2 linked regions of the Pelodiscus sinensis genome follow. The main gene of each other region encodes a partner of the protein of the gene in region 2 in a complex. Links are inferred from orthologs where the notes say so. Each region holds a gene or a part of one and is shown on either strand. Other genes may lie near its edges.

Region 1 (9,244 bases), about 38 Mb from region 2:
ATTGAACTCCATCTTGAGAGCTGTGGGGAAGCCTTTGAGGGCATTGGTCTCAGGGGGGCTGTGGGTTCCTCAGCACCTGTCAGGATCTGCCCCACAGAATGTCCCAAGTAAGGGTGATAGAGGGTTTCTTCCTGGAACTCACAGAGGAACATATTTAGTGATTCAGCCAGCTCCATGCCAATGATAACAAGAGTCAATCAAGGATATTAGAAGAGAGCATATTTAAATTAGATAAAGGTTGCCTGCTCCCACAGGCTCTTCCCTTTGAGCCATGACATCCCAGATGGATTCTCTCTTCAAACTGCCTCCCCCACAGGTGCTCGCCCCTCCCCATATTCTCCTCTATGGGGCCTATTACCAGGCCAATAAAGGTCTCCAGGATCCCCGAGAAGCTCTACACTCCCACAGAGCACTCACTGCCACTGCTGAGAGTGTTGCCCCAGCCAGAGATCAGGCACGGGGTGCCAGTGGCCACACAGCCGGTTGGCAGGGCAATTGTGTTGACGTAGGAGTTGAGGGTGGCTTCACTGGCCAGCTTGATGAGCATGATGTCATTGTCCAGGAGCCGGGAGTTGTACTTCTCGTGACGGATGACTTTGACTGAGTTAATGAACTGTTCGGTGCCTTCTCTGACTTCTATGTTGTGTTCTCCAAGCCTCACTTGTATAGAGCTGGAAAGGAGGAAGGAATAACAGCATCCTTACCAGCACTGTCACCATCATTATCCATCATCATCATCATCACCACAACAACCTACGCCATCACTGTGGCTATTGCCACCACTACAGCTGTCATCAACACCAGCACTAAGTCTCAGTTGCTCCATTCAGTGGAAAGCTCTCTGGTTTGGAGTTCACATGCCAGGATTTGGACTCATCTGCAATCCAACTGTGCAGGGCAGTCCTGGAGCACTGAATTTTCTTTGAAAATTATCAACATTTGTAATTTTTTTACCATGTCTACACATCTCTCCCCACGCTTTACTTTTAGTTCTAACAAGGGGGTAGTAATTCCTAACTCACAAGGGAGTTCTGAGGCTTAACTCAAAGGCTCTGAGTTCCTCAGGTGGTGGTGCTGTAGAATTGAAATGTAATGTTCTTCCTGGGGGAAGAGGTACCCATGTGATGAGAAGGTTATACTTTGAAGGATACAGTACACTGAGGATGCCTACTTACTCCTCTTCAATGGGTTCCCAATGATGGCCCTACAAGGCAGCACTGAAGAAGCAGTGGGTACTGAACTATTTGAGGAGCTACGCCACAATGGAGATGTCTGACAACCTGGCACGGTACCAATCAACCATCTCTAGGTGATTTACAGCAATAGTTTAGGAAAACCCTGGTGTCCTCATCAAATCCCTGTTCCCATATTTCCCAGTGAACGAAAGATACTCTAACAAGACGGTAGGTGAGTTTTCAGAAAAGGTGACACATAATCCCTGCATGACCACTGCACTGTCACCTGGCAAAGTGCTTTGATTGTTTGATGGTGGAGAGAGGCCCATTCTGTTCACTCTTCAATCATTCTTTGTTAGTCCATCATTCTGCTTTCTGCAATTTTAGTTCACGATTGAACTCCCACAAAGCCAATTAACTCCCTTAAAGCAATCAAGAGACTTCCAGAAATTACTAGACCATTATAGGACATGCCTACACTAGAAGCTGGAAGGGCAATTCCAAGCTCAGGGAGACATTTCTGTGCTAGCTTTAATTAATCAAGCATGCTAAAAATCACAGTGGCAAGAGGGATTAGCAGCCATGAGTATGTGCCTATAGGGTTGGGTGGGAAAGTGCTTGAGCTGGCAAGCCCTTCCCATCATTTGCATCACCACAGTGACATTCTATTTTCAGTGTGTGTGTCTCTGAGCTGGGTATCATGCCTCCAGCTCAAAGTGTAGACATACCCACTGACGGTCACCAGGACAGATGACTCATGCTAGGGCATTTGATTCAGTTCTAATTCAGAAAAAATGTCACCCAATACTGAATCGTCACCTCATGCAGCACAGCACCCTCTTCTAATGCCAGGCTGCTGGTGCACTGCAGTCAGTACTGACACAGAAACCAGAGCCTCTCCTGAAATACCAACTCCATTGCTTGAAGGACTGGAGCATTCTTTGACAATCTCCCACCTGAGGTGGACTGACCCTTGCTTAGTTAACCAGATCTGACACTACAAGGGTGATAGGGCCAGAGGGGAAGCAGTAATTTAACGGCACAAATATTTTCTACTCACGATTTGTAGCAGTGAGCAGCTGAGACAACCCATCTGCTGTTAATGAGGGCACCTCCACAGAAATGGTATCCAGCATTCAGGGACACCTGGTAGGGCAACGAGTTCTTTGAACAGGTGTAGCCTCCCACTATCTTGTCATCATCATCATCAAGGGGAAAGGCAACTGCGTGAAAAAGGAAGATAGTAATTAATATGCATGATGAGGACCATGGAGCCAACCTGAATGAAAGGACAGACAATTAGGATACAAAGCCGCTCACTTGTAGGAAACTGGGAGCCAAGCCTGAGCTGATGGTGGTCAAAAGGTCTCCACAGCTGGTGGCTCTTTGTTGGTTGTTTTATGAAATCCAGCTCTGGGGCTCACTTAACCCAGCTTCTAGTGCCTATTTGTCCATATTACAATCAGGCTACGTCTACACTGGTGGCTTCTTGAGCAAAAACAGCTGTTCTTGCGCAAAAACTTGCCGGGTGTCTACACTGCACAAACATTCTTGCACAAGTAAATTTACAGTATAGCATCGGAAAACAGGGCTTCTTCCAGAAGAGTTATTCTTCTCCCCACGAGCAATAAGCCCTCTTGCACAAGAGCTCTTGCGCAAGAGGGCAGTGTAGACAGGAAACATTAATTTCTTGCGCAAGAAACCCCTATGGCTAACATGGCCACCAGAGCTTTCTTGCTCAAGAGAGCATCCACATAGCCATGGATGCTCTTGTGCAAAAGCACATGTCAGTGAAGACACGCTCTTGTGGAAGACTTTTTGCGCAAGAACTCTTCCACAAAACAGTTCTTGTGCAAGAAGCTGCCAGTGTAGACGTAGCCTTCAAACTCTGTGATAATTAGCCTGTGGCTGACAGTCTTGACAATTTTGGGGATAAAAAAGGGCTTCACTCTCCAGGGCTGTATCTACACTGGCACGATCTCATGCAAAAGTGGACACCCTTGCTCAAAAACTTGCTGCCTGTCTACACTGGCCACGTGATCTTGCGCAAGTAAACTGACGTTCTAATGTATGAAATTAGGGCTTCTTGCGCCAGAACTCTGATGCTCCCACTCAGGAATAAGCCCTTTTGCACAACTGTTCTTGCGCAAGAGGCCAATGTAGACAGGCAACATGAATTTCTTGAGCAAGAAAGGCCTATGATTAAAATGGCCATCAAAGATTTCTTGCACAAGAGAGCGTCTACACTGGCATGGATGCTCTTGTGCAAAAGTACATGCCAATGTAGATGCTCTCTTCTGGAAGAGTTTTTGCAGAAGAACTCTTCCTCAAAAGAGTTTTTGTGTGAGAACGCACCAATATAGACGTAGCCAGTAGTATACAACCTGGCTCATATAAACTTCACTGTAACAAACAGTAAAAATGAACTTACCAGCTGCTCCCAGAAAAGCTACTACCAGGATGTATTTCATGGTCTTCCTATGGATTTAATACAGCTTTGTAGACTAGAAGATATAATTTCTGGGGTTTTATCCTCCTGAATGGGCCTTATCTCCAGCCCAAGGATTTCACCAAAGGAAAGTACACAATGGAAAGTTTGAAAGTATACATTTAGGTGTTTATCAGGCACAGGTAGAAAAAATCCCACATCTCCCCAAACTCCAGAGTTAATGATGAACTTTTCCTCATTTGCAGAGGTATTTTTTAAATGATTACAGGAGATAGCTTTCAGTTTAAAAATGAAATGAGAACTTAGGTCAGTTTTTCTTTGATTTTATTCCAGGTTTTGTTAGTGCACAACAAACCTCAAAGCCTTTTGAGAGTCATCTGTCAGTAATCATGCCTTTCTGGAATGTGCCTTTTCTTTCCAGAAGTTAAGAGTTCTCTATGTAGGGTTTAAGGTCCTATAAATTGGAATTGGAGATGATCTATTATTAGGTTGTCTCTTGACCATGTAGTTATCCTGGCCAATACAGATTTATTTGTATCCATTAGAACATCAGAGTTATGAACACCAGAGTTACAAACTGGCTGGTCAACCACACACCTTATTTGGAACTGGAAGTGCACAATTAGGTGGCAGAGACTAAAAAAAAAAAGAAAATATTATATAGGACTGCGTTAAATGTAAACAACTAAAATAAAGGCAAAGCTTTAATAAGAGGATGGGATAAAGTAACTTTGTATTTGATTCATCTAAATTAAGATGGTTAAAAGCAGCATTTTTCTTCTACATAGTAAAGTTTTAATTCTGTATTAAGTGAATGTTTAACTGTGAACATTTGAAAGAGATGTAACAGTTTGAGCAGAATTGTGAGTTTTTCTGTTAGGAATAATCTCCATTCCTGAGGGGTGTGCAGCTCTAATTTACTATCCCTGTGGTTGTTGTTATTTTCCCACTTCTAGTGGTAAATGAACCAAATTATGGAGCTTTCATAATTTCATGTGGGAGACAACTGTCCACTTACGGATTTTCCTGGATTTATTAATCCAGCCAAGAACTGTGTCTCAGCTTGGATTTTTAAATTTTTGGGGGAATGTTCTATAGAAAATCAATATTCCAATAAAATATGGAACTCCCAATAATAATATATATACTATTATAAAAAGTATAAAAGTGTCCATCACACTGTCTGTTATAGAGAACATTTGAGAATACACTGGAAAGGTACAATATGATAAGCTGGGCTGGTGGCTACCATTTGCTCCTCTCCCACCCCCCACAACAGAGCAGGATGTGAGGATGTGGTGGATAGGTGGGGTGGGCACAGGAAGACCTGCGGGGGCACCAGCTTGGGGAGCCGAGGTAGGGATGAGCAGAGCAGGGCGGGCAGGGACTTACTTCCAGTGCCACCACTCACAGCATCTCCCACTTCTATATGTCCCTGGGCCCAATATGCCACTCGGAGAAGTCATTGTGCTGCAGGTGCTGCCCCCCGCCAACCTCTGCTGCTCCCGCCCCTCCACCTGTAGGACAGGTCACCCCCAGGGTGCAGGACCCTGCCCCGTGAGCCGCCTACCCTAGCAGGCACAGGTCTGAATGATACCACTGCCCCCACAAGGTCCCTGCCGCACCTGCCAACCACTTGCTGAGGAGGCATCCCAGGGGCAGCCTGTCTAGCAAGTGGGGGCAGTGTGGGCATCAGAGTATGGCGGGGAGGAGGGAATGCCTCACAGACCATTGAGCAGCTGCTGCCGTGGCAAAATGACTTCTCTGCGCACACATCAGGCCCTGGGACAAAGAGAAGTGGGAGGTGCTGCAGGAGTCCCTTCACGCCATGCTCCGCCTGTTCCTCCTTCAGCCCCCCAAGCCAGTGTCCCCTGAGTCTTCCCACACCCTCCCCTCCCCCATGCTGCCCACGTGCCTGCCTCACCTTGCCGCCACATCCTCACATCTCTGCCACCTCTGAGACTGTTGCACTGCAGCCATGAGGCAGAGATCCGCTAGTGATAAATTAAAAAGGAGTAGGGAAGGGTCATCAGGTCTACCATATAGCTAGAAGGGAAACTAAAGGTATTTCCTTTTAAATTGATAAAAGTTAGTTTTAAATAATTAGCTTGTAAAACTCCCTGTTGCAGTGTATTCTTGAAACATATTGCTTAGGGCCCAGTGTTACTACCTTAATAACTTTTTTTGTGAGTAGTCCCATTGATATCAATAGGAGCTGCTGCACTTTTGAAAACAGTTCACTAATCTAAGTGCATAAGTATGGATTTGGGAGGTTTAACTTTGTGACCATTTTTAAAAATCTTTGTTAGTGTGTTACTTGACTCTCATCATGTGCTTAAATGAATTTAGAACATTATAATAACAAACCAACATCCCTGCCTGAGAGGAGAGCTGATTTGTGCAAGGACATTGGCCACCCAGAGATGAAAGTGTTTGTTGATGCAGCTGTCAACTCTCCTGAGTTAGTATCTAACTACCATGGGATGATAGCAGGTGGTTGTTGGCTCAGGATAATCCCCAGGTGGTTATTGGCTCAGGATAACCCCATGGAGACAATGCTATAGGGAGCAATCCTACACTGGCTGGGGCTGGAGTGGGAGGGCATTTAGAATGTGATACTAACAGGAGGGGGGAAGAGTCCAGGAGAGCTGGCAGTATTTTAGAGAAGCTTTATTGAAGGTGCAGGAACAAACCATCCCAATGTGCAGTAAGAAAGGCAAATATGGCAGGTGACCAAGTTGGGTTAGCAGTGAAATCCTTGGTGAGCTTAAACACAAAAAGGAAGATTACAAGTGGAAACTTGGACAGATGACCAGGGAGGAGTATATATATTGTTCAAGCATGCAGGGGTGTAATCAGGAAGGCCAAAGCACACTTGGAATTGTAGCTAGCAAGGGATGTGAAAGATAAAAAGAAAAGTTTCTACAGGCATGTTAGCAATAAGAGGGTGATCAGAGAGGGTGTGGGGCCCTTACTGGATGGGAGAGATAACTTAGTGACAGATGATGTGGGAAAAGCTGAAGTACTCAATGCTTTTTTTGCCTCTGTCTTCACAGACAAGATCAGCTCCCAGACTCTGGGCTAGGCAGCACAGGGTGGGAAGGAGGCAGCCATCAGTGAACAAAGAATAGGTATAAACAGCTATTTAGAAAAGCTTGATGTACACAAATCCATGGAGGTGGATCTAATGCATCCAAGGGTGCTGAGGGAACGTGTTCTTGTTGAACCTCATCAGACTTCATTTGGCCCAATCCTTCATTTTGTCTAGGTCACTCTGGACCCTGTCTCTGCCCCCCAACATATCGACCTCACCCCCAGCTTGGCATTATCCACAAACTTGCTAAGGGTGAAATCCAACCCCTTATCCAGGTCATTAATAAAGATGTTGAACAAAACCATCACCAGAACTGACCTTCAGTACATTCCACTTGAAACTGACCACCAACCTGACATTGAGCCATTGATTCCTACTAGCAGAGCTTAACAAACTAGCCAGCTTTCAATCCACCTCACAGACCATTTATCCACTCCATAAATGTATCTTACATGCTGGCAAGAATTCAATGGGAGACCGTATCAAAAGCTTTGCCAAAGTCAAGGTATATCACATCCACTGACATCCCCATGTCGACACAGCCATACTCATGGACATGCAAGTAAATAAATCACTGGCGGCCAGCTGGTGAACCTCCTCCAGCTCATTTCCCACCACTGGGTCAGAGCGAACAACTGAGAGTTTGGATACCCATGTTTATTTCCTTCTGCCAGAGAGGAGGGAATTGAACATGGGATGCCCACATCCCAGACAAATGCGCTAACCACTGCAATACAGGTTTAAAGATCAGTAATGCTAGCTAGTTTGGATTTTTTGTGAGGAGTTAGATAGCCCCTGAGCACAACTACTGGACTGGGCCCTGCATGATCTTCTCAGAACCCTGGATTCAGCTAGCTACTTCTGTGTTGTCAAGGAGCATGCCATGCTATGAAGTGCCCAAAGTAAGGTAGTCATGCTCATGCTTAGAGGCAAAAATTTAGGAAATGTGATTATGAAAAACTCCCACATCTCTCTAGTACACTTCCTCCTGACAGAATTCAGAAGATTCCATGCAGAGATTCTGAAATGCAGAAATTATTAAAAACTTCCACATCTCTCTAATACATTACTTCCTCCTGAGAGAACTCAGAAAATCTTGCTCAACTAGAAGATCAATATCAGGCAATGACAGAGCCTAATAAACACTGAAAATCCTATATAGTCTCCCAGCTTTGAGAACTCCACAGCTGACAGTCAATTGTTCATCCAGTGATCTCCAAAATGCAGTTACACATGGGATTTGGATCTGCACAGCATTGTGGGTAGGCAGGTGAAGGAAGATGATTTCTACAGGGAGGGGAGCTGGAAAGAAAGGGAAGCTATAGATCCAGGAAGGAAGCTCTCAAGGAAAGTAAAGAAAGATCTCTCAATGGGAAGGGAATATTTATTCAAATGTACTCAAAGAAAAGCCTGAGTGACAAGGAATTAATATTTAAAAAACTACTAATGAATTGAAAACTAATTTACTAAATAACTGGGTGTAGCTTTTAAAACAAAGTCAATCAAAACGCAGATGGTATCTCTGCATTTCCAAACAGTCCACAGATTGTGAGGAGAAAATTCTGGAAAACAAAAATATAAGATAGCTGTGGTTCTACACTAATATTATTTCAATCACTCAGTGCATGGCTCAGTCAATCAGGAATGGAAGGAAAGAATAACTTCATCTACATTGCTGGGGGTAGAAAGCAGTAACATGAGTTAGGGTTTGCCCAAGAGCACATCTGGATCTCTCGTATAAAGTGCTGAAGAAATATTTATGACCTGAGTGCTCAGGAAACCGTTTTGCATATCATCTGAAGCAACATTTATACATCATTTCAATTCGTCCCCTCCCCAGGTTTTCATTGGAGAAATCATAGAAGGGAGAAGATGCTCAGTCAATTCATCACTTCCTGTCACCTTCACAAAAACCAAGAGATAAACCAGAGAGAAGAATAAAATTCACTAGCAAAAATGTTGAGATTCCTGCTGCTTCTAGTGCCTGGTAAGAACCTAGAAATCCCACCCCAAGCTGGTGCACAGGCAGAGCACAACTTCTCTAGAGATATGCACAAGCCAGCAAGGAGCAATCCTACACTGGTGGGAGGAGGGAGGGGAGAGACATTTAGAATGTAACTTAAAAGACTGTATACACCTTTAATTTGTTTTTTTTTAATTGCTTCTCTCACATAGGCTCTGGGCTGGGAGTCCTCATCTCTCAGTTCCCAAGAACAGCAACCCAGAGACATGGAGAAAGGATGGAAATAACCTGTGTCCAAAATGACACTAGCTACACCTATATGTACTGGTACAAACAACTCAAGACAGAAGGTCCAAGGTTAATAGCCCTAAGTGTATATGGATCGAATGCTACTTATGAGAAGGACTACAATGCTTCCAAGTTTCCAGTCACTAGACCCAATACCAGAACCTCTTCCATGAACATCGTAGCTCTGGAAACCCAGGATTCAGCCAGCTACTTCTGTGCAGCCAGTGAGCACACAGTTCTACATGGCGATCAGCACCTCATTCAAAATCTTGCCC
Region 2 (8,777 bases):
GTTAGGATTGTGGCATGAGGGGTATTGGAAAATAAAACTAACCATTCTATAGTGAAACAGAATATATTCTACATGCTTTATATTGTACTAAATACACTAGATATGGGTCTGTCTGCACTGTAACAGTAGCCTGATCTCTATCACCAAGAAGAGCTGATCCTAAAATGTGGTACATTTATGTAGCTGAGCTATTGCTGCTAGGTCAGTATAAACCAGCTAAGGATCTGTCCCTCAGTCTTAAACCTGTCTCTGGTTCTCTCAGGCTCCACAGTCTGGGAGTACTGTGGATGAAGCATACTCAGTAGAGCTTGGGAAAAAAAGACAATTTTTCTTCAAAATTGTTTCATATTTGTAAAATTATTTTTCATTCACATTTAGACATTTTCTGGCCTTAGAAGAGAAGCACTGTATATTGATTGAGGCCAGGGAGCTCTGCTGGGGCCAGAACTTCCCGCTATGCTGTCCATCCTCCTCTTTCTTCCCCCACTCTGGGCTCCTGGCTGAGTCCCAGGGCCCCTTATGGCACTCCTACCCCTCCACCAGTTGTCCCTCTTCCTGTGCTCTGTGATCCAGGAACATATGGCCCAGGCTTGGCATAGCTTTAATTGGTTCTGAGAAGCAGCTGTATCCAGAGGGACATAACTATACTGTGCTTTCTGCAGTAGTGTTCATCAAAGGGAAGGAGAGAGATGGAGGGTCCCAATAGACCACTTGAGAGACAGAATCATTGTTGATATTCATAATCTAATGAGGATTTTAAAATTTTAAAATTATGAACTACAGTATATACCCACTTGAACAGCAAAACTTCAGAGTTCTTATATTCATTCTTCAGCTGACTTGCTTGATAGATTTCAGTTATCTGTAGAAAAATATATATAAAAAAATTCTGAACAGTGGTTGGAAATATACACAATTGCACCTAACAGTTGTGATTTCAACACTGCTTTCCCCCTGAGATCTAGGCTTGGGAAGTCCACAGGTTTCTATGATACTTGGCCAATATGCATGTAAATATTTTGAGTTTTGATTGAACTCAGAAACAATAACCTCTGTCACAGATGAAAGGGAAAAAAAGGCACCAATCACAGAGATGGCCAAAGTTTGGGATTTCCAGTTTGTGGGAAATATTGATATTTTGAAATTTGGTTTAATTCTGATTGAGAACAAAACCAAGGTTTTTTTTTCTGAACTCCCTGCACATTGGGGGTCCAATGCAACCATAGGCGGTTTTTGTGTCAAAATGAAATATGTTGCTAGAAGTGACTGAATGTGATGTTTTGTCAGTTTCACTGCTACTATTCAAGTAGCAGTGGTTAAATGGACAAGAATCATGCCAATTGGCATTGAGGAGAGGGACCAAGGGATCCCAGTGTTCTTGGCCAGCTGTATTCCCTGGCCAATTTCTGATGGAACCGGCTTGGATTTGATGAATCTGCAGGAAATTCCCAACCTGTTATAACTGATATTGGGTGAATTTTGGAAATTAATACAGTTAATGATGTATCTGTTATAGCCTCTTGTATTAACCATACATGTATAGACTCTTACCAATTGCTGAATATCGAAGGCAAGGGCCTTGAAGTCAGCTGATGAGTTGTCTTCCAAACTAGGGCTGAATGATGCTCCTGACAGTATTTTAAATGTTCCTGTGGCTGCATGACTGTTTTCATTTACTTCAGTTGGAATAGTTAAAGAAAAACAAAAGAGCGGAAATATTGATTTATGCAGTAATGTAAGCAACAGTTTGCATTTGACTTTCCCAGTAAAGGACATAATACAAAAATTGCTACTCTCCTTTCACTTTCAATTCAGAACTTTTCTTTGCATTGCCCTAGTTTCAAAAGAAAGTCAGATTCTTTTCAGCTGCTTAAAGACACAATTTCACAATGCTATCATGTTTAAATCCATACTTTTTTTCCCCATCATCCTATTACTTTCAATTATATCTTCAGTTCAGAGCTTTCCAGAACCACTATATTACCTGCTGAAAGAGGCAATGACTGGTCAGCTTCCTCCAGTTAGAGCAACTGACAGATACTAGTGAAGCATGGTGGGCAATAATCTGTTAAAAGTTTGTCAGTTCTTGGACTATAAGCATCAAGACCTCACACTGTTGCCTTTCTACAATTAAAAGCTCTGTGAATTTCTAAAGGAACACACAACCTTTTGAGAGGCATCTTTGAAAATACTGCTTTCACTGAAGTAATTATTATACAGTCTTTTCTACCAGAATGTATATGCTTGTGTGGGTGAGCTTCAAAAAAGTTCAAACAGGAACTAATTCAGTGAAAATCCTATGGCCTGTGGTATGATGAATATCAGATTAGAAGATCGTAGTGGTCCTTTGTGGTCTTATAATCTATGAAGAAAATTATATGAAAGTAGGTAACAAGGGCTAGATCCAGAAAAGGAGATAGACACCTCACTGGCACTATACCCCCCAAGTCCAACGTTTAGGTACCACTGAGGTGGTCAAGCCTTCTGTCTAGCTGCTGCCTAACTGTTTAGGCATCTAAAGTCTCTAGAGCAGCTAAATTTTAACTGTTTAAGTGCCTAAAAATCTGCTGGTGAGCATGCACACAGATGCTTATCTGACATGTAAGTCCTAGCAGGATCTTCAGACTAGATGTTTCCCCACCTATCTCATCTGCAATGCAATCTGGTGCAGGTTGTACCCCCCTTTAACTGGGACTCCCTGGTCTGGCAACATTCATGGTCTGGCAAGAGGGAGGTCTGGCGGAGAGGCAAGAGCACCATAAGGGGCACCAGTGACTCAGCCGGGAGCCCAGAGTGGTGCAGGGAAAGGGTGGATGGACGGTATGGTGGAGAGTTCTGGCCACAGCAGAGCTCCCTGGCCCCAGCAGCTCGGGGCTCTAGCCTGGATGTGACCATGGACCGTAGCCCCAGCCAGAGAGCTCTGATCACAGTGGCAGCTAGGGAGCTCTGCTTCAGCTGCGCACCTCTGGCCATGGCGCTCCTGTCCCAGCAGCATTAGGGCCAGGGAAAACCTGGGGAGCAGCAGGGACAGGCTGGAGCTCTAGCCCAATAGCAGCCTGGATACAAGGGTGGGACCTTCCCTGGTCCAGCAAATCCCCTCATTCAGGACAAGACATGTCCCAAGGATGCTGGACCAGTGAGGTCCAACCTGTAGTACCAAAAAATGTTCATGGCCATATGCCCCTTATAAAGATTTTGCAAAAAAGTATTTTAAAAAGAAACACAAACATTAACTTGATTTATTTCTATATTTTCTCTTAGAAAACTCATTGAAATCTCTGTGACATTTTGTTATTTCAGTGAAACTACATTTCCCTATGGAAAACTTATTAAAATAAACTAGCACTGATGGTGACTGTAATCTACTTTGACTATTAAGGACTTGACTATGCGAAATGCTGAGTACTCCTACTACCAGTTGAGTGTCTTCACATCTGACTATCCCCAGTGTTGGGCAATAAAGGCACCATGAAGGATGGCCCTGGAAATCAAAATGATCACATAAATGACTACTATTATATGTCTCCGAAAAAATATGATCCCAAGAGGTGGCAAGCGCTTGCAAGATACATGGAAGTCAATGGATGCTCACTACTACACAGGATCAAACCAGAAGCTTGTGACACAGTATTCCAAGTAAGGACATTTACAAAAATAATGCAGCTTACTTTAATTGAAAAACAAACATAAAACAAGCAGCATAGCTTTTAATTTTTCTCTTGACAGATCTGATCAAATATCATTATCTTTACTATTTAAAGTCCAGGGTCCTGACCCAAATCGCACTGAAGTCAATAAGAGTCGTTTCATCAACCTCAGTGAACTTTGGATCAGGCTTGAAATGCTTCAGTTTTTATGTATCTCATTTGTTCTGATTGTCAGTGGGAAAAATAGTAATGCATCTTTTTAAAGCAGCAGTGGTAACAGCAAAGCATAAAAAGTAAAACATAATTACAGTGGCAACAGTTGGCTTCTAAGTCTGAACAATTACCAGGGAGCTCCTTTAAAGGTTAGATCTTGACTACTTACCTTGTTGTGACTCCTTGATTAGTAGCCATGAAAGTGTAATTAATCCAGCACAAACACACACAAAAATTGCAAGCAGAGCAGCAAGCCAGATTTCAAAGTCATTAAGAGGGATACCTCTCTTAGATAATGATTTTTTCAGATTCATTCCCAGTTAGGAAGTTTATATCAATTAAGAATTGTCACAAGAAACATAGAGAGCAGCGATCTATGTGAACAGATATTTATAGGAAAAATTTGTAAATTAATTGCACCATTAATCTTCATTTACGGTCAGTCAGTATGATGTAGTTTTGATATCATTCCTGAATGGTTACATCAATGTGCAGTTTATGCTGGTATAAACAGAACGCAAGAGACTCATCATGGAAGATGATAATAGCTGAGATAAAAAATACATATGCAAACAAATACCCAAAGTTGTAAATGTTAATCAACAGCTTTGTACAATCACCTGCCATATGCCAATTTTTATTTGAAAAAAAAAAAAAGTTAAAAATTAAGTTTATTGCAGCATAATTTACTATTTTAGGGAATAATTACCTAGAAATAAAACTGAACTTACCATTGCATCAGTAAGAAAAAAAACCAAAGTAGCAGGTTGCTCTGAGCAGTGGCAGTTGCTTGAAGGGCCCAATCCTGTTTCTGGTTGAGTTTCCCTAACTTCTCCTGAAATGAATACGAGTGAAGTGTGTTTAGCACCTCATTGCAGATACTCATTGTCTCATGAGTTTTAAGCGTTTCAATTTTTTTATGTTTATTCTAAATATTCTTTTTGCTGGACCCTTTTATTAATTTGTTGCACACAAATATTTCTGATAATATTGTCTAGGTTAATATAAATTGCTCAAAAGTACTTCTGTAGTGTGCATGAAGGCATCTAACAACCACACTAATATTGTTAGGACATTAACTTAAAGAAGTCCTTTAAAATAGCAAGGGTACAACGATCATTTAAAACTAGATTACTAAATTACTAAAAGTTGTGTGAGCATCTAATGTTTGTTTCTAATCAGTGGTCAAATTAAAAAAGAAATACTTTGTACTGAGCTGGGAAAGGGCTTCCCATTCACTTCCTGGTCCTGCTGATGCTGGGGGGTTCCAGCTGCCACCTGGCCCAGCCACAGCTGGCCCAGCCAGGGCTCCCCTGCCCTGCATTCTCCCGACTGCCTCTGGGGCCCTTTGGTCCAGCAACATCCATGCCAGACCAGAGAGTTCCAGATTTGGGAGGTTTAATCTGTGTAAAAAACAAAGTATTAGCGCAAATCTAGCCAAGAAGTATAATGTATTGTGTGGGAAAAAATACCTGAGCACTTTCTTTGTTCGTCATCTAACAACTCTTCCATCAAAGTTGTCAAGAGTTCTGCCTGCATCAAGTTTAAGTGAATGTTGAGGGAGGAGTTATGGGGGACTAGGCATATAAATATTCACACCACTATCATTTTGCACATTTGAACAAGAAAAAAGAATAGCACCTGAAGACTTTTTTTGAATCATTAATTTTGGATTGATGCCTACACAGTAAACTAGTGGCCTCATTATATGAGAAGTAGCAGAGACTATAATAATTTACAGCTCAGTTAATTTTGTCAAGCTATGTATATGTTTAGATTTACTTATGTTTGGACCAGGACATAAACTTGCAAGTGCTCTCTTCAATTCTGATCATGATTAGTATAAAGGAACTAATTTCCTAAATATGTTATTTTCTATTCTGAAAACTAGGTAATGGTGGCAATAATGAATACGCAATCTCCAAGACTAAGTCAATAATGAATGCAATGTCAGGTTTCATAAAAGTGCATTATTATTGTTGTTGTTGTTGTTCTTATTATTGTTGTTACAACTACTACTACTACTACCAGGGCTCAACAATTAGGGCAATCTACTTACCTGTGGTGAGTAGAATTTAGCCCGGCACGGCGCCGCAGCATGATCAGCGCATGTGCAGCGTGCCAAACCGCGCGGCTGGTGAGTGGGGCTCATCACTGCTTGTCAAGCCCTGACTACTACTATATTGTTTGTAACATAAAACATTGTGATAAGGACAAATTGAGAAATAATAATAATAAGATAACCAATACTTTTTTTTCTCAGTTTTAACTAAATACCTTCAAGACTTTGGAACAGACAGATATATTTTGATATAATGTTTGCTTAGCAGTGGTATCATATCAATGAATAACTTCCTTGGTACATTGTCCACTCACATTCACCCAACTAAGAAGCTTTTGCCGACACTCTCCCATTACATTACTACTGAAAAAGCACTTAAAAAAATCCCTCCAAGCATACATTTTTCAACATGAAAGTTCACAATTAAAATAGTGAATTAAACCCTTTTGCCTGCCAATGGAATAGTGAATGTTACAGCATCAGCTCTTCTCGCCATGAAATTTCCTGCATGATTTTAATCAAGTAAAGAGCCAAGTTAGAAAGCCCAGGGAGAGCTTAGTCAAGCACATACATTAATCTTTTAACAGAAGTTGGATGAGCACAATCTCATTGTGACACTGGCAAAGGGGGTGCCTGCATTTGCTAAGGCTTTAGGCCTCAGCCCAGCACTGGCAAATGTATTGATGGAAGCCAGTCTGTTTCACCTGCATGTTAGTATGGTCAGCATGGGCATTGATTGTATAGCAGTGTGTTTACTGATATTTTTGTTTACTAGTAATGTCAGAAAAATCATCTATGGTCGTTTAGAAACCAGAATTCTTCAGAATTTTCCTCTTCTTCCTTTGTATTTTGAATGATACTCCAAAAGTCAAAATGTTCTATTTTGAAAATGTGGCACTGCATCATTTCTAATCTTTTTTTCTCTTTGTAACAGAAATAATTAAGTGAAACCAACACAAATTAGCAATATGTTTCAGTTTATCTTAATCTGTTCTTTTAATTAAAAAACAATTTCAACTGAACAATTTCATCCAGTTTGAGTTACAAACAATATTTTTAAAAATATTGTAATTTAAAAGTGTGTAATATTTAATTGTTATATGGGCAAATATTATGCCCATCTCCATATTCAAAACCAGAGAGGAAAGGACAACTTTTTCTAAAAAAGTGACTTAGAGTTATTATATCTAAGAATTGCTTGACTGACAGCTTTTCATTATCAGTTTCACTCTCACTTGCCAAATTCTAGTTCAGGCCATTTGCAAAGAAATATATTAGAATTCAGTCCCACAAGATTGACAGTACCATCACTTTACATTATGTCAGTGTCATCTGTAGACCAAGCAAAATTTACAGTCTCTTGTCATGTATTTATTTTCCTTTTTAATCATACAACTGCATAGGGCAAAAAGGGTGCTGACACAGAAAGAGGGGAAATGCTGTGTTTAGATAATTCCTCTAATACTCATTCTATGACAAACACACCCAAAGCCTGACAATCTGTTAATCCATCGCTGGGAAAATTATTTGGTTAGATTTTCAGGAATGCCCTCCATTAACAAGATGAAATGAGATTCACCTTCCTTGTGGCAGGTGTTTTCAGATATGTAAGTATATTTTGTAGTGCAGACTGCTGTGGAAAGAGCTGGAAAACTACATCTAGAAACAGACCAAAAGCTTATTTTTGCTCATGCTTATGCACCAAGGAACTAGCATTTTAAAACAGAACTCAAGCACATGTGGGAAGGAAAAAGCCCCACAAGATTCTTAACTCCACCTACAGTATGAGTCACCTCCCTTGTTTTTGGTAACCTAAAGGACTATGTTATTCTGTATTAGTGTCTCTCTAATGCAAATTGTTCTCCTCACACTTGGCCAAGGGCTATCAATGGGAATGAGTATAAGAGGGCATCTTCCCCAGGCCTGGTGATTTAAAAGGGCCTGGGGCTCCAGGCCTTCACTGCCACTATCGCGGCAACCCATCAGTGTCTGGAGCCCCAGGCCCTTTAAGCTGCAGTTCAGGTGGCACTGAGGGCTGGCTGGGAGACACTGGCCTCAGCCCCTCTCTGCCTGACCAAGTCCCTACTCCTTCCAGGGGGTCTGGAGCTGAGTCCTTCCCACATTGCTCAAGGCTCAGTGAAGTCTTCTTTTGGATGTGTTGCTGCAAGCCTGGCAGCAGTTTCTGCAGGCTGCCTCACAGCATCTGCTGCAGCCCAACTCCCACGCCATCATCCGGACCCACCTGGGGTATGTGGAGAAGCAGCTGCAGCTCCCGGACGCTAGTGTGCCCCTCGCTTCTGGCGTCTGGATACCAGCAGTGACTGGTGGGACCACAACGTCCTGGAGAGGTGGGGAGATCAACAATGGACCCAGAACTTCAGGATGAAGAAGGACACCTTCATGGAGCTCTGTGAGTGGCTCACCCCTGCTCTGCAGTGACGGGACACACACATGAGGCCCGCCATTCCCCTCCAAAAGCACGTGGCCATCGTCCTCTGGAAGCTCTCCATGCCAGATAGCTACCAATCGGTGGCAAACCAGTTTGGCATGGGGAGATCCACCGTCAGAGCAGTGCTCATGCAGGTATTGCAGTCTCTGGCCACCGTGCCAGGAGGGGGGGTGCAAGGAGGGGATGGGCTGCTCTAGGAAAAAGGGGGGGGAGGAGGTGAAAGTCCCCTCTCTGGGAGGGTTTGTTCTGTCCCGCCCACACTAAGGACTGTGGGTGGTGGCCAGGATTGCAGAGGGGGTTGCTCCTGAAGAGTGAGGGAGCGGGGCAGTGGTGGGGAGGGGGCACTCTCAGTCACCTTGGCAACCCAGTGACACTCGGTTTTGTGTGTCCCTCTGAAAGTGGTCAA

The links.
Region 1: the proteins of TMPRSS15 (region 2) and cationic trypsin-3-like are in contact, whole or in part, in a cryo-EM structure (PDB 8ZIV), measured with the Homo sapiens proteins. The link is inferred for Pelodiscus sinensis from reciprocal best matches to the Homo sapiens genes TMPRSS15 and PRSS1. Residues at the interface, in NP_001414986.1 of Homo sapiens: Tyr276, Thr277, Ile279, Trp297, Glu298, Leu316, Glu318, Asp320, Glu321, Ile369, Gln370, Ser372, Phe374, Pro376, Phe377, Ala389, Gly399, Pro400, Gly401, Gly402, Arg403, Glu405, Glu432, Asn433, Lys485, Ile486, Leu487, Val513, Pro514, Thr515; in NP_002760.1 of Homo sapiens: Phe18, Asp19, Asp20, Asp22, Lys23, Ile24, Val25, Tyr45, His46, Phe47, Cys48, His63, Cys64, Tyr65, Lys66, Arg68, Ala91, Lys92, Arg95, His96, Arg101, Lys102, Leu104, Asn146, Tyr175, Phe188, Leu189, Glu190, Gly191, Gly192.

Annotation. Positions count from the first base shown.
Region 1 is NC_134711.1:136,339,598-136,348,841, forward strand, and holds the start of cationic trypsin-3-like, read right to left. Parts: upstream 3,766-9,244; 5' UTR 3,647-3,765; coding exon 3,607-3,646; intron 2,399-3,606; coding exon 2,236-2,398; intron 672-2,235; coding exon 418-671; intron 1-417. UniProt on the Homo sapiens protein: Has activity against the synthetic substrates Boc-Phe-Ser-Arg-Mec, Boc-Leu-Thr-Arg-Mec, Boc-Gln-Ala-Arg-Mec and Boc-Val-Pro-Arg-Mec. The single-chain form is more active than the two-chain form against all of these substrates.
Region 2 is NC_134711.1:173,914,131-173,922,907, forward strand, and holds the start of TMPRSS15 (enteropeptidase), read right to left. Parts: upstream 4,175-8,777; coding exon 4,026-4,174; intron 1,664-4,025; coding exon 1,552-1,663; intron 863-1,551; coding exon 795-862; intron 1-794. UniProt on the Homo sapiens protein: Responsible for initiating activation of pancreatic proteolytic proenzymes (trypsin, chymotrypsin and carboxypeptidase A).